3 linked regions of the Caenorhabditis elegans genome follow. The protein of the gene in region 2 interacts with the protein of the main gene of each other region in a pairwise test. Each region holds a gene or a part of one and is shown on either strand. Other genes may lie near its edges. The genes, in order: C05C12.4, ZK856.11 and ftn-1.

Evidence for each region.
Region 1: the proteins of ZK856.11 (region 2) and C05C12.4 interact in a two-hybrid assay, tested with the Caenorhabditis elegans proteins (one large-scale study listed by BioGRID).
Region 3: the proteins of ZK856.11 (region 2) and ftn-1 interact in a two-hybrid assay, tested with the Caenorhabditis elegans proteins (one large-scale study listed by BioGRID).

The regions. Positions count from the first base shown.
Region 1 is NC_003282.8:11,245,944-11,250,056, reverse strand, and holds C05C12.4 (EGF-like domain-containing protein), read left to right. Parts: upstream 1-1,975; 5' UTR 1,976-2,004; coding exon 2,005-2,092; intron 2,093-2,137; coding exon 2,138-2,279; intron 2,280-2,728; coding exon 2,729-2,801; intron 2,802-2,850; coding exon 2,851-3,018; intron 3,019-3,061; coding exon 3,062-3,250; intron 3,251-3,294; coding exon 3,295-3,450; 3' UTR 3,451-3,606; downstream 3,607-4,113. Other genes in the region: gtl-1 (TRPM SLOG domain-containing protein), read left to right, coding at 38-194, 552-708, 778-856, 900-965, 1,015-1,053.
Region 2 is NC_003283.11:10,203,260-10,207,079, reverse strand, and holds ZK856.11 (putative RNA-binding protein EIF1AD), read left to right. Parts: upstream 1-2,141; 5' UTR 2,142-2,166; coding exon of another isoform or gene 2,167-2,217; 5' UTR 2,218-2,244; coding exon 2,245-2,283; intron 2,284-2,328; coding exon 2,329-2,526; intron 2,527-2,571; coding exon 2,572-2,738; intron 2,739-2,988; coding exon 2,989-3,112; 3' UTR 3,113-3,309; downstream 3,310-3,820. Other genes in the region: tftc-3 (TPR_REGION domain-containing protein), read left to right, coding at 1-85, 148-253; rpc-25 (DNA-directed RNA polymerase III subunit RPC8), read left to right, coding at 479-691, 741-1,006, 1,056-1,296; ZK856.16 (Ovule protein), read left to right, coding at 1,497-1,757; chpf-1 (EF-hand domain-containing protein), read left to right, coding at 3,604-3,670, 3,748-3,804.
Region 3 is NC_003283.11:7,545,873-7,549,306, reverse strand, and holds ftn-1 (Ferritin), read left to right. Parts: upstream 1-1,727; 5' UTR 1,728-1,743; coding exon 1,744-1,800; intron 1,801-2,260; coding exon 2,261-2,614; intron 2,615-2,660; coding exon 2,661-2,762; 3' UTR 2,763-2,839; downstream 2,840-3,434.

The sequences.
Region 1 (4,113 bases), on a different chromosome or scaffold from region 2:
CACCCGGCAGTAGTGAGACATATTAATCCATTTTTAGATAACAGTAGATGGTCCTAGTCCAATCGGCTCTAGAAGAACATCGGGACAGTATCTGAAGAGAGATTCATTGCAAGCAAAAAAGAAAATAACTGAAAATCGAAGATCTTCTTTAGAGCAACCAAAGATTCCATCAATTCAGTTCAATCTCATGGAAGGTTTGTTGACTTATAGTTCAAACTGGGAATACACATTAATAATTCAAAGTTAATACATGTAAAAATTTTTCAAAAACTCAAATTTTAGTTTTCTTTTGAAAAACTTGATATTCTTTTCGAATATATATAAATATAATAATACAACCTGACTGGCTTGTCTATTTTTTGGTTCTTTCCCTTTATAAACTAGTATCATCTATTCCAATTATTCCATGTTCTCGAACAAGCTCATTTGGACTTTCCAAATGTTTTACCGAGAAATTTAATGTTATATTCAGTCAATCCGTTTCCGCAAACTATGAGTTGTTAAGTAAGAAAAATATTCCAATCTAAATAATTAAAACAAATATTTTTCAGATCAAGATGAATCAGCTGCTGAGTCAGCAACGGAAGAAGTTTCGATAAGCATTCCTGTTCCACAAATGAGAGTTCGTCAAGTCACAGAAAGTGATAAGTCTGATTTATCGGAAGATGATTTGATCACAAGAGAAGATGCACCACCTACTAGTATTAAGTAAGGGAATTGACATATTTCTAGGGAACTTTAAATTTTTAACTTCACGAGAATAATTGAATGTTTCAGTTTGCCACGTGGCCCGCGTCGACATGCTCTCTACTCAACCATTGCAGATGCAATTGAAACTGAAGATGATTTTTATGCTGTTAGTGGGCTTCTTCTTGTTTAAAACTGTTTTTTTGTTTCAGGACAGTCCAGTTCCAATGCCAATGACACCAGTTCAGCCAGCGGATGGGTCTTTTTTTGGGGAAAATGTTGGTTGAAATTAATTCAAAACAAACTTTTAAAAATCTAATTTTACAGGACTCGAGATATCAAAGAGATGATAGTGACTATGAATAAACATGAGCCCTAATAATTTTTAATGCTTTTAATTTAATTAAATTTTCTATTAGTGGGGACTATTTTGCCATGTATATAATGATGATTTCAATGACAGAAATATAAACTGGTTCTTTTGTCATTGGGAAAAACTGATAAGAGCATTTTTTTTGTCGTAATATGATAATTTCGCTTCGCAAAACGTTTGAAATCGTACATTTAGAATTACAACAAAAACTCGAGGAAATGGAAATAAACATTTGCATATAAGCAGCATTCGCAGATATGTCATTTGGTTCATTAGAAGCAACACTTTTGAACAGTTGAACAGTTGTGAACAGCAGTTTGAAGATCAATCCATAATAATTCTGGGAAAATAAATATTGAATCTTCCAAATAAAACTTATTTTTGAATAAAAGAATTTCTGAACACACACAGTTTCAGGGCAGTTTGAAAAATTTAGTTAACAAAAAAACCTTTGCTAATTGTTTATATTTTTTATTCCTTTGAATAATGTCAGAAGACTAAAGAGGAAAACTGATTAAACCATAAAATAGTTGTACACTGATAACACCTCATCATTCTTCATTTTCCTCAGTCTCCAACTCACAGTTTTTGTATTCCCAATTCATTTTTGTATGGTCTGACGTCACGAATGATTTTCTACAGACGTTTCCCAGTAAAATTCTTGTGACGTCAATCCATTCGAAAAGAAGAAGGAAATTTTTGTAATTCTCATGCCGTTACTGAAATCCTCGAAAACTGATGTCTGCTAGTTGTTCGTTGTTTACCGAAGTAAAAATCAACGGATGAGTCAATCCACACACAAACAGTTTTTTGTGATCTGGTATTTGATGCTCACTTTCTCAAGGTTGCAACAAACACTTTCCAAACCCCTTGAAAAATATGATGCTCCATTTCTAATGATTTCCTTTTTTTTTCAGATATACTGTATGATTTGAAAAAAAATAATGTTTCAACAAAAAAATGTAAAAAATACAATTGGAAGCATTATTATTCTACTTTCGGTATTACAACTGTTAGAAAGCAAAGAATTCGGTATTCAGATTTTTATTGAATTTTAATAAAACTATAAAAATTCAGAACCAGATGATTGTTACGAACCAGGAACAATATTTGAAGAGAACGAAAAAAATTTAGGATTTTGTCCCTGTAAATATGGATATTATGGACCCTCATGCTTCGAAATATTTGATTGTGTAATTGGAGAATTAAGAGAAGACATGTGAGTTAAAAAAAAGATAATAGTTATTATATTACGTTGCGAAAGTGAATGAAACTGAAAAATTAATTTGTAGTGACTATAAGGAATAAATCGAATGATAAGAAAAAGTTGTGTACCATTTTTTTAGTGTTGATGCAGTATTTGTTATTTTGAGAGGCAACCATATTAAATACATAGACACATAAAAACCTGACTCAAATATTTCTGAAACTGTAAGTATCTTAATTTGCTTGTTTACTTTTCATGTTTTATATTTTACTCATTCAAAAGAGATAACTACTCTATTAGAAAAAGTTGAATTTTCAAATTATTTCATTGTTCAATAAATACTGTGCGCTGGATCACTTGACAAAAGTGACGTTAAAACTACAAACCATGATGTCACAATTTGCGGTTTAACGGAATAAATACTATGCTTTTTTAAGAATTCAACATGTTTAAATTTTAAGTTGCTCGGATGAAATTGAAAATGATTACGATTTACAATGGAGATGTGCAGCATCAAAGAAGAATATTGTGAAGGTAGTTTTTTCTTTGAATGAAGTAATTTCTTTTAATTCTAAAATTTTGGATTTGCACTTGTCCACCCGGATTCCGAGGAGAAACTTGTGAATTAATAATGGAAAATACAGTTACAACATACTGGAAAACTATCAAACAATCCCAAAAATTCTTTGAAGTCGTCTACAATAAATCCGATTCATTTTTCAAAGTTGTTGGATCGAAGTCATGTAAAATAGTAAGTGATTCTAAACATTTCAGGAAATTATTTGATTTTAAAGTTCTGGGAATATCGTCGTCTAGTAATACTTGTATTATTCGCAATAATATTGGAAATGGCTTGGAGATTCACGAAAAAACAGCAGAAACAGCATGCAAACTGCAAATTGAGGAAAAATGGAGAATCAAATGGATTCATAAACCAAAATTATGATTTTTATCCTTTGAAATCAAGAAATTTAACAAATCTTGTAAGTTTAAATTTTCAATTTATCAAAAAACGATAAATTTTCAGGAATTATCAGAAAAATCCACGAAAGAGCACTTCGATGTGGAAACACTTTCAATGCAAACAAAGTTTTCAGAAATTTCTGAAGTTGATGATGGCACAATTAGTCTGAAAGAAACAAAAATTGAACAGAAAATTCACAGACCTTGCCTTCATATTTAAGTGAGAATTTCTCTAAAAAAAAAGTTTTTGATCATTTTTTTTGTACCAACCAAATGTGGAAAAAGTCAATCACCATTTAACACCTTCATCTACATCATCGGCATTGTCATTAAAGTTTAAACCTGTTAACTGTCAATTATTAATAAAAACTGAAACAAAAGAACTTACCACATATACTTGACTCAAAGCACGAAAAATTAAATTTCCTTCACTATAGTGTAAGACGTAGGAAAATGGTATTTCAGAAACTTGTTAAAAGATCAAAATATTTCAATTCTAAATGATTTTCGATCTTTCTAGACTTGTTTAACAAAGAAAGAGCACGAGCTTTTCGATTTTTGAAGTCTTAATATGCATCCTAAACCAGAAAAAAGTCCAAGTATTTTGGGTTAAAACCGAACACGTCAACTATACTCAAGGGGAATTTTTATGTCATATCTTTTGCGACTTCACCCGAGAATTTTGAAAAGCAAAACAAAATAGTCGGAAGAAAAGGAAGTTGTGCAGAAGAACGAAGAATTTGGACGCAACGAAGATCCTGCTTCACTTTTTAATTTTTTTTCAAAATTTGATAGTTATGATGGGAACTTTTAGTTAAAGTGTACAACAGATCAGTTCTGAATTTTATTTTATCTATTTTGAATTTTTTCCATGGTATTTAAA
Region 2 (3,820 bases):
TTTATGATAAAGTATTGGAGGTTGATCCGCCGTGTGTGTTTGATTTTGATGAAGATGGCAATGAGGTTATTATTCCAGCAATGAAGTAAGACAATTTTAAAAATAAATTAGAAATTTCTGTCTGTAGAAATACTATTAAAATTTCAGATATGACCTGAGAAAGATGGCTGCTCACAACCTGGCTTTAATCTACCGAACATCAGGAAACAATTTCGCCGCTAGGAAAATTTATGAAAAATATCTTGTTGTTTGATTTTTTGTTGAAGAATAATTTTTGTTAATCTATCCAATGTCTGACATTGTGTGGTCTAATTTATAAGTAGCAATCCCATCGTACTTTTTTAAACAATTACTTATAAATTTTCTTTTTTATTATTTTTATTTCATTATATTTGGTTCTGAGAATATAGTTCAAGCTTCCATTCAATATCTGCTGATACTGATGCCGTATAAAAGGAAAATGTTTAATATTTACAGTATGTTCATTCTTTCTCTACTGCACGATACGGTGGCTATTCAGCCTCATCAATTGAGCTCTGATCAGCAAATTGTTATCAAAAAACGGCTCAATGAACGTCTCGCCAACAAAATTATTCCGGATCTTGGTCTCTGTATTTGTGTCTATGATATAAATGAAATTGGTGATTCGTACATTTTACCCGGCGAAGGAGATTGTAGAGCGAGAGTTAAGGTAATAAATCAATGTACAGTCGTATTTGAGAAATGAAATAAATCTTCAGTTCCGTATGATCGTTTTTCGGCCATTTGTCGATGAAGTTATTGAGGCCAAAGTGATTGGTTCATCACGACAAGGTCTTTGTCTAACAATTCAATTCTTCGAAGACATTTTTGTACCGGCGGAAAAGCTTCCAGAACCTCATGTTTTCGAAGAAGAAGGGCAAGTTTGGTATTGGGAATATGCACAGGAAGATGGAGAACCACCAGCAAAACTGTATATGGATCCAGGGAAGATTGTGAGATTCCGAGTGACGGAAATCATTTTCAAGTGAGACATTTTGTATTTCATCGAAATTAAAATATTGATTTGTTTGCAGAGATCTCAAACCAGAGTTAACACACGAAGAGAGAAAAACAGAGAAATCTATGGAAATCAAAGGTACGATGGCTAGTACTGGATTGGGATGTATTGGATGGTGGGCAGCAGAAGATGAAGATGATGAAGCGGTTGAAGACGAGCAAGATGAACAAGAAGAAGTTATACAGCCCAAAGAAGAAATTAGACAGCCTCAAGAAGAAGTTAGACAGCCTGTTAAAATTAAAGAAGAGCCAGTTTAATCAAATTTTAATTGATTATAACGGGTACACTGTTTTTACTTTTTGTTATTGTTGAATAAGTTGTTATTTTTTCGTCTTGCAAAATAAATATAAAGATAGCTTGCAAAGATCGATTATCCAATCATTATGTTTGTCTCATGATTTATACAAGTACTTCCAAAGGCGGCCTGATATTTTAATTTCAGAATGGTTTCAGAAACATGAGCGAAAAAACTCGTAACCTTATGCTTAAAAGCTCAGCTGCGCCCACCAGTAGTCAACAGTACCATTCGAACAACGTCCCACTGCCAGTCTTCCGTGGAACCAGCTTGATATCGCAACTCGAAACACAAAAATATCCGACATCCTTCACAGCGTGCTCTTCTGATTTTGACAATGTAATCATTCCATCTTGTCCAAGCATTCCGATGCCGACTCAATCCTCATCGAGTACGGATACGGCCATGGATTCTTCTACTTGAGTTTTAATAACTATCAAGTGCTTCTAAAAACATCTCTGACACCATTTTCTATTTTCAAATGTGAATAAATAATTTAATCAAGCATTTCTTCCATATTTTGCCCAAAGTTCATTTCACGGTAGCCTACCGTAAATCGACATATCGAGTATGCGCCAAGAAAGAGAAATGCGCCAGCAATGGTTGTTGACACGCATCGTAACTTTATGTCGAAAATTTTTATTTAATTTTTATTCGTTCTCTGAATGTGTTCTTTATTTAATGCATTTTTGATGTTTTTTCTCTTAATTTTCACGAGAAAAAATTTATGCTCGCAGTAGTATTTAATACTGCATTTATTTTTCTTTTCGTCTCGTAACTCGTCTTCTGTTCTAATTTCAGTTTTGCAGGTTTCGGGCCTTTTCTCCAGTTTATGCGTATAAGTAGAAGAAGTGATACATTAATCGTATACTTCCCAACTTAAAACTCAATTTTTTTTAAACCTGAAATCATGTCTGCTGCTACCAAAAAGAGATACATTACCAACAAAGTAAGATTTTAAGTTTTCGTGTTCTGAATTAAATTTTTGTTTCAGGTTGGAAGCGAGTTTTACGAGCTTGTTGATGAAGACATAATTGCACAAGTCCGACAATCGCGTGGTAACAATTTGCATGAAGTTCTCGATCAAAATGGTGACAGCTATGTTGTATCGATGCCCACAAAGTTTAGAAAATCAGTATGGCTTCGGCGTGATCAGTTTGTCGTTGTTCGGCCAATCACAGAAGGAGACAAAGTAAGACAAAAAATATTAACGAAAAGTATTTTATGTGGTTTTAAGGTGAAAGGAGAAATCGAGTACATTTTGGATCAGGACAATGTTTTATACATTCGCGAACTCGGCAAATGGCCTACTTGTTTCGAAGAAAACGCTCTAAAAATGACTCGAGAAGCTAAGCGTGGTCAAACATCGGATAAAATGATCGATGACGACATGCTTCCACCAAGGTACGATTTTTTTGCAATACAGGTCATTTAATTCCATGATCTATTTGATCGGTCAATCCTTTCTGTTGTAATGTATACGCTTCATTACGACAGTCGTTATTACAAACTAGCTACGAATTATATGAGGAGATGCGAAAGAACAATATACGGGAACGCACTAGGTACATTTTATAATCATCAAAAATACAATAATGACGTCACTCGCCTCACGAAAATTTTATTTTCTTGAAGAATAATATCGTTATTTCAGTGAAAGCGAAGAAGAGGACGAATCAGAAGGGGAGGAGACATACGATGAAGATGACGTTGATGACGAAGAGGAAGAAGAATTCGACACGTATAATCCAAACCGAATGCAGGCACCTTCGAAATGAATAAGCAGTTTTCAAGTTGCTTTCCCTACCCACTTTAAATTGGCGTTTCCCGTGTTTTTGTTACATTACTGTTATTTTTGTTATCATGTTCTTTCACTTCCAACCGCCTTTACTTTCCTGTTTATGCGCCTGCTGCCTCTCCGTGGCATGATCGCGTCCATTTCATAAAGATAAGACAGTTGCTTTGAAAATCGATAGTTCTCTCTTCTCTCGTTATCCATGTTTTCAATAGATTGTGGCTAATCGATACTACGCCATATCTCAATAGTACCTGCCTGTATTATCTCCAAAATCATCTCTGTAGACCAGAAATGTTTTGTTGTTTTGTTCGGTTATTTGTTTACAGTTTTTGAAGAATTCTGACTATTTCTTTGCCAGATTATGCAAAACTGTTCATTCGTGGGTGTAACTTCACACGCTCACTTCTTGGTTTCCATTCTTCAGAAACTTTTCTCTCAAAACTGATAGAACTGAATTTTCAGTGTTACGAAATGGGAAACAGCAGTTCTTTAATGTTACGAGATGAGGAGATTGAGGAAATAATGAGTGAAACAGAATGTGAGTTTAGATAATAAATACAATTATTTTTAATGTTCTTAACTTGGTGAAAATTAGATGATCAATGTTACTTTCAGTTAACAGAAATCAAATTGTCCGACTCTACAGCCGATTTTTATCACTTGATAAAAAAGGTTTGTTGCGTATTTC
Region 3 (3,434 bases), 2.7 Mb from region 2:
ATTGGGTAGATACTGTGTATACGCAACGTTCACTCTCTCTCTGCTGGTCTTCTTCAGCTGAGCAACAGGAGCATTTTTTGAAATATCATAAAATATTTTACTAACAATACATTCTGGAATCATTCCTGATATCGTTTCTGTTCCGTGTGTATTTTAAGAAATTAAGGTATCATTCAAGTAGAACGCATATACCTTATTTCCTCTATTAGTCTTGCAACCCTACGGTCCAATCGAAAATTAGTCTTGCATGCAAGACTAATAGAGGAAATATGGTAAGTACCATTTCTGTATTACAAGTAGATGGAGCACAAATAGGTAGATGTTGAGAAATATGCGAAATAAGTTCTGGACTACACGAAACTGTCAATTGTTATCGTTCGTTTTCATATAAGTCCAACGGCAAGATGGAGAATCAGAAACTACTGAAAATACAATCGAAAAAGTTGGTGTAAGCCGTGAAAACCAGAAGAAAATGCGCTGATCGCTATTTATGCGAAGTCTCTTGATATTCCTCGCGTGCGCGAATGGCCACACGGAAAGGTGATGGGCCAGTAATCAATCGACAGGCAGTGGACAAGTTCAACCCCGGCTGAGGCAGATAGAATTGCTACAACGAAGGATCACCGGAAGACGGTCTGGAGGAAGACCGGAGCTTGGAGCATTGGGAAAGAAAAAGGGGGCAGCTGGAGGGTGAAAAAATTTTCCCATTTTTTAGTCTCCTTACGGTTCAATTACGGTCCGTTGACGGACCGGGAATCGAACCGTGAACTGTTCTTTAATTTGAGCCGTTCCCGGTCCGTGAACGGACCGTTTTGGGCACTTTCCGCTTTGCCTGTGAAAAAACAGTTCCACTGAAAAGTGTTTTTTTGTAATTTTTGATACTTGTTCAAGTTATTAAATGGTCTGCTCAGTTTTCAGTGTTTTTTTTTTGAATTTCGCTTTAACCTGAACCATCCTAATTCAAAAGTATCAATATTCTGACGCAATATTTAAATTTTTTTTGTTAAACTATATCACTTTTTCCATCCAACTTTTGACTGTCAACAGCTCACGTAGCCAATGATAAGAGCGGCACGTACCGTTTGTTATCACTAAATTTTGATGCACGTAGCCAAAATAAATGCTAATCAACATGTCTTAGGGCAGCTCATGTGATGCCGAGACAACCATACATCAACGTTAAGAAAGTGTAGATCATCATTTGATGAGAATTGGGTTTTGTTTGGATCAGGAAAAACCGGAACTTTTTATTTCAGAATTTAGGGCGTTCACTGGAAACGTTCTAACAATACTGGTATAATTTATCTCCCAAAAAACACTTTTCAAGTTTATAACCTATATCTAAGTTTAAAAATTTTGAGTACAGGACAAGTATGAGTTTACGAAGCATCATATTAAAATCAAAATGTAATGTGAATGTGGACGCTAGAAAGCCAGGCGAAAAGGGACATCACACTTCTGCAAAAAGTTATTTTCATTCGGCGATCCTTGGATGTAGTTTTCTTACAGAAGGTTAAGCTTCTCAAAATGTACTTCAACACTTAGGTTTCCATATTAGTTCATTGAAACGCATGTTTCTGTAAACAAGAACCCTTTCGTTGCCAATATGTAATGTGCAAAAATCATAATCAGTTTATCAATGATCACAATCACAAACTCCGCCCCCAGAGTTGTCCAGTTTAAAAACACCCACAGTCCCGGACACGTAATCAAGTCATTATATTTTCTGCCAAGTAAATCGTCATGTCTCTAGCTCGTCAAAACTATCACGATGAAGTCGAAGCGGCCGTCAATAAACAGGTATGATCATTGTTTTGACAAATGGGAAAAATATATTAGGAAGGTTGGAAATTGAGAAGAGATTTAGAAAAAGAGAGGATGTGTCGTGAGAAAATTAATCACTGATGTCTGGTTACTTTAAATTAGGAATTTAACTGATTAATAAAAACATTGAAACACACCACACGCTTATTTTTCCAACCGGCAACATTTTGTTTTTTTTTAACGAACAAGGGCAGGCAGACAGTACCTGAAGAAGCGCAATTTGATCATGGCAGCGTCGATGATTTCTTTGCTCTTATGCCAGTCATCCAAAAAAAATATACAGAATAGGCGGCAGTAGATAGACGAGCACGTGAGACTGAAAGCGTCTACAATAAAAATCCTATCTGAGCTTGCTTTTGAACTGGACGAAATTAACACTGAAATGCTTTTAAAATTAGAAGTATTACTCAATTAAAAGCTTAAATTACCTTTCCAGATTAACGTAGAACTCTACGCCTCCTATGTCTATCTATCGATGTCTGCACACTTCGATCGTGATGATATCGCACTTCGGAACATTGCCAAATTTTTCAAGGAGCAATCGGATGAGGAGCGTGGCCATGCCACAGAGCTCATGAGAATTCAAGCTGTCCGTGGAGGACGTGTTGCCATGCAGAACATTCAGAAGCCAGAGAAAGACGAGTGGGGAACTGTCCTTGAAGCATTTGAAGCCGCACTTGCTCTAGAGAGAGCCAATAATGCATCTTTGTTGAAGCTTCATGGAATCGCCGAACAACGCAATGACGCGCACTTGACAAATTACATTCAGGAGAAGTATTTGGAAGAGCAGGTTGGCATTTTCAGTTTAAACTCCTATTTTTATAACGTTTATTAAGGTACATTCGATCAATGAATTTGCTCGCTACATTGCAAATATCAAGAGAGCCGGCCCAGGACTCGGAGAATATTTGTTCGACAAAGAGGAATTTTCTGATTAATAATTTTTATTTGATGTATTTATTGTACATATGGATGAAATTGTATATTTACTGAAATGAAACACATTGAAAACTTCAGAGATTAGCAGTTCCTAAAAAGGTTCAACCTTTTTTCAACCTTTGTGGCGGAAATCTGAGACACATAAGGTGTTTTTTAAATGTTTATTTGGAAAAACCGTTAGTATATGGAATTAATACAATATAAGGGAAATATTTTGTATTGAAGCTTACAAGAAGCTTTCATTGTTTACAGCGCCATGTGGAATTCTACGTTTTCAGATGTTTTCCCAAAAACAACATAATATATTTGTTCTGGGTATATCAAAAGATTTCCAAAAAAATTATTTCTAATTTTCAAAAAATATCTCTATCGATGTGGAAAGTGTTGTAGAACTTAAAAAAGTTTCTGTATACTTTCAGACAGAATTTTTGTTTTCAATGGCATTTTTTGAATGTTTTCATAACCAACGTGGCTCAATAATGTTTTTGAAATGCACTTATGTACATTTTTGTTCTTAATTATATTTTCAAAACAGCTTCATTTCTTTAAATAATGTGTATATTTAAAAAAAAACCAAAATTGATTAATTTGCATGTTTGAAGTTCGTTAAAATATCTCTAAAAATATATGGATAGAATTTTGGTAATTATTACGCTTCAACTGGAGGTTTA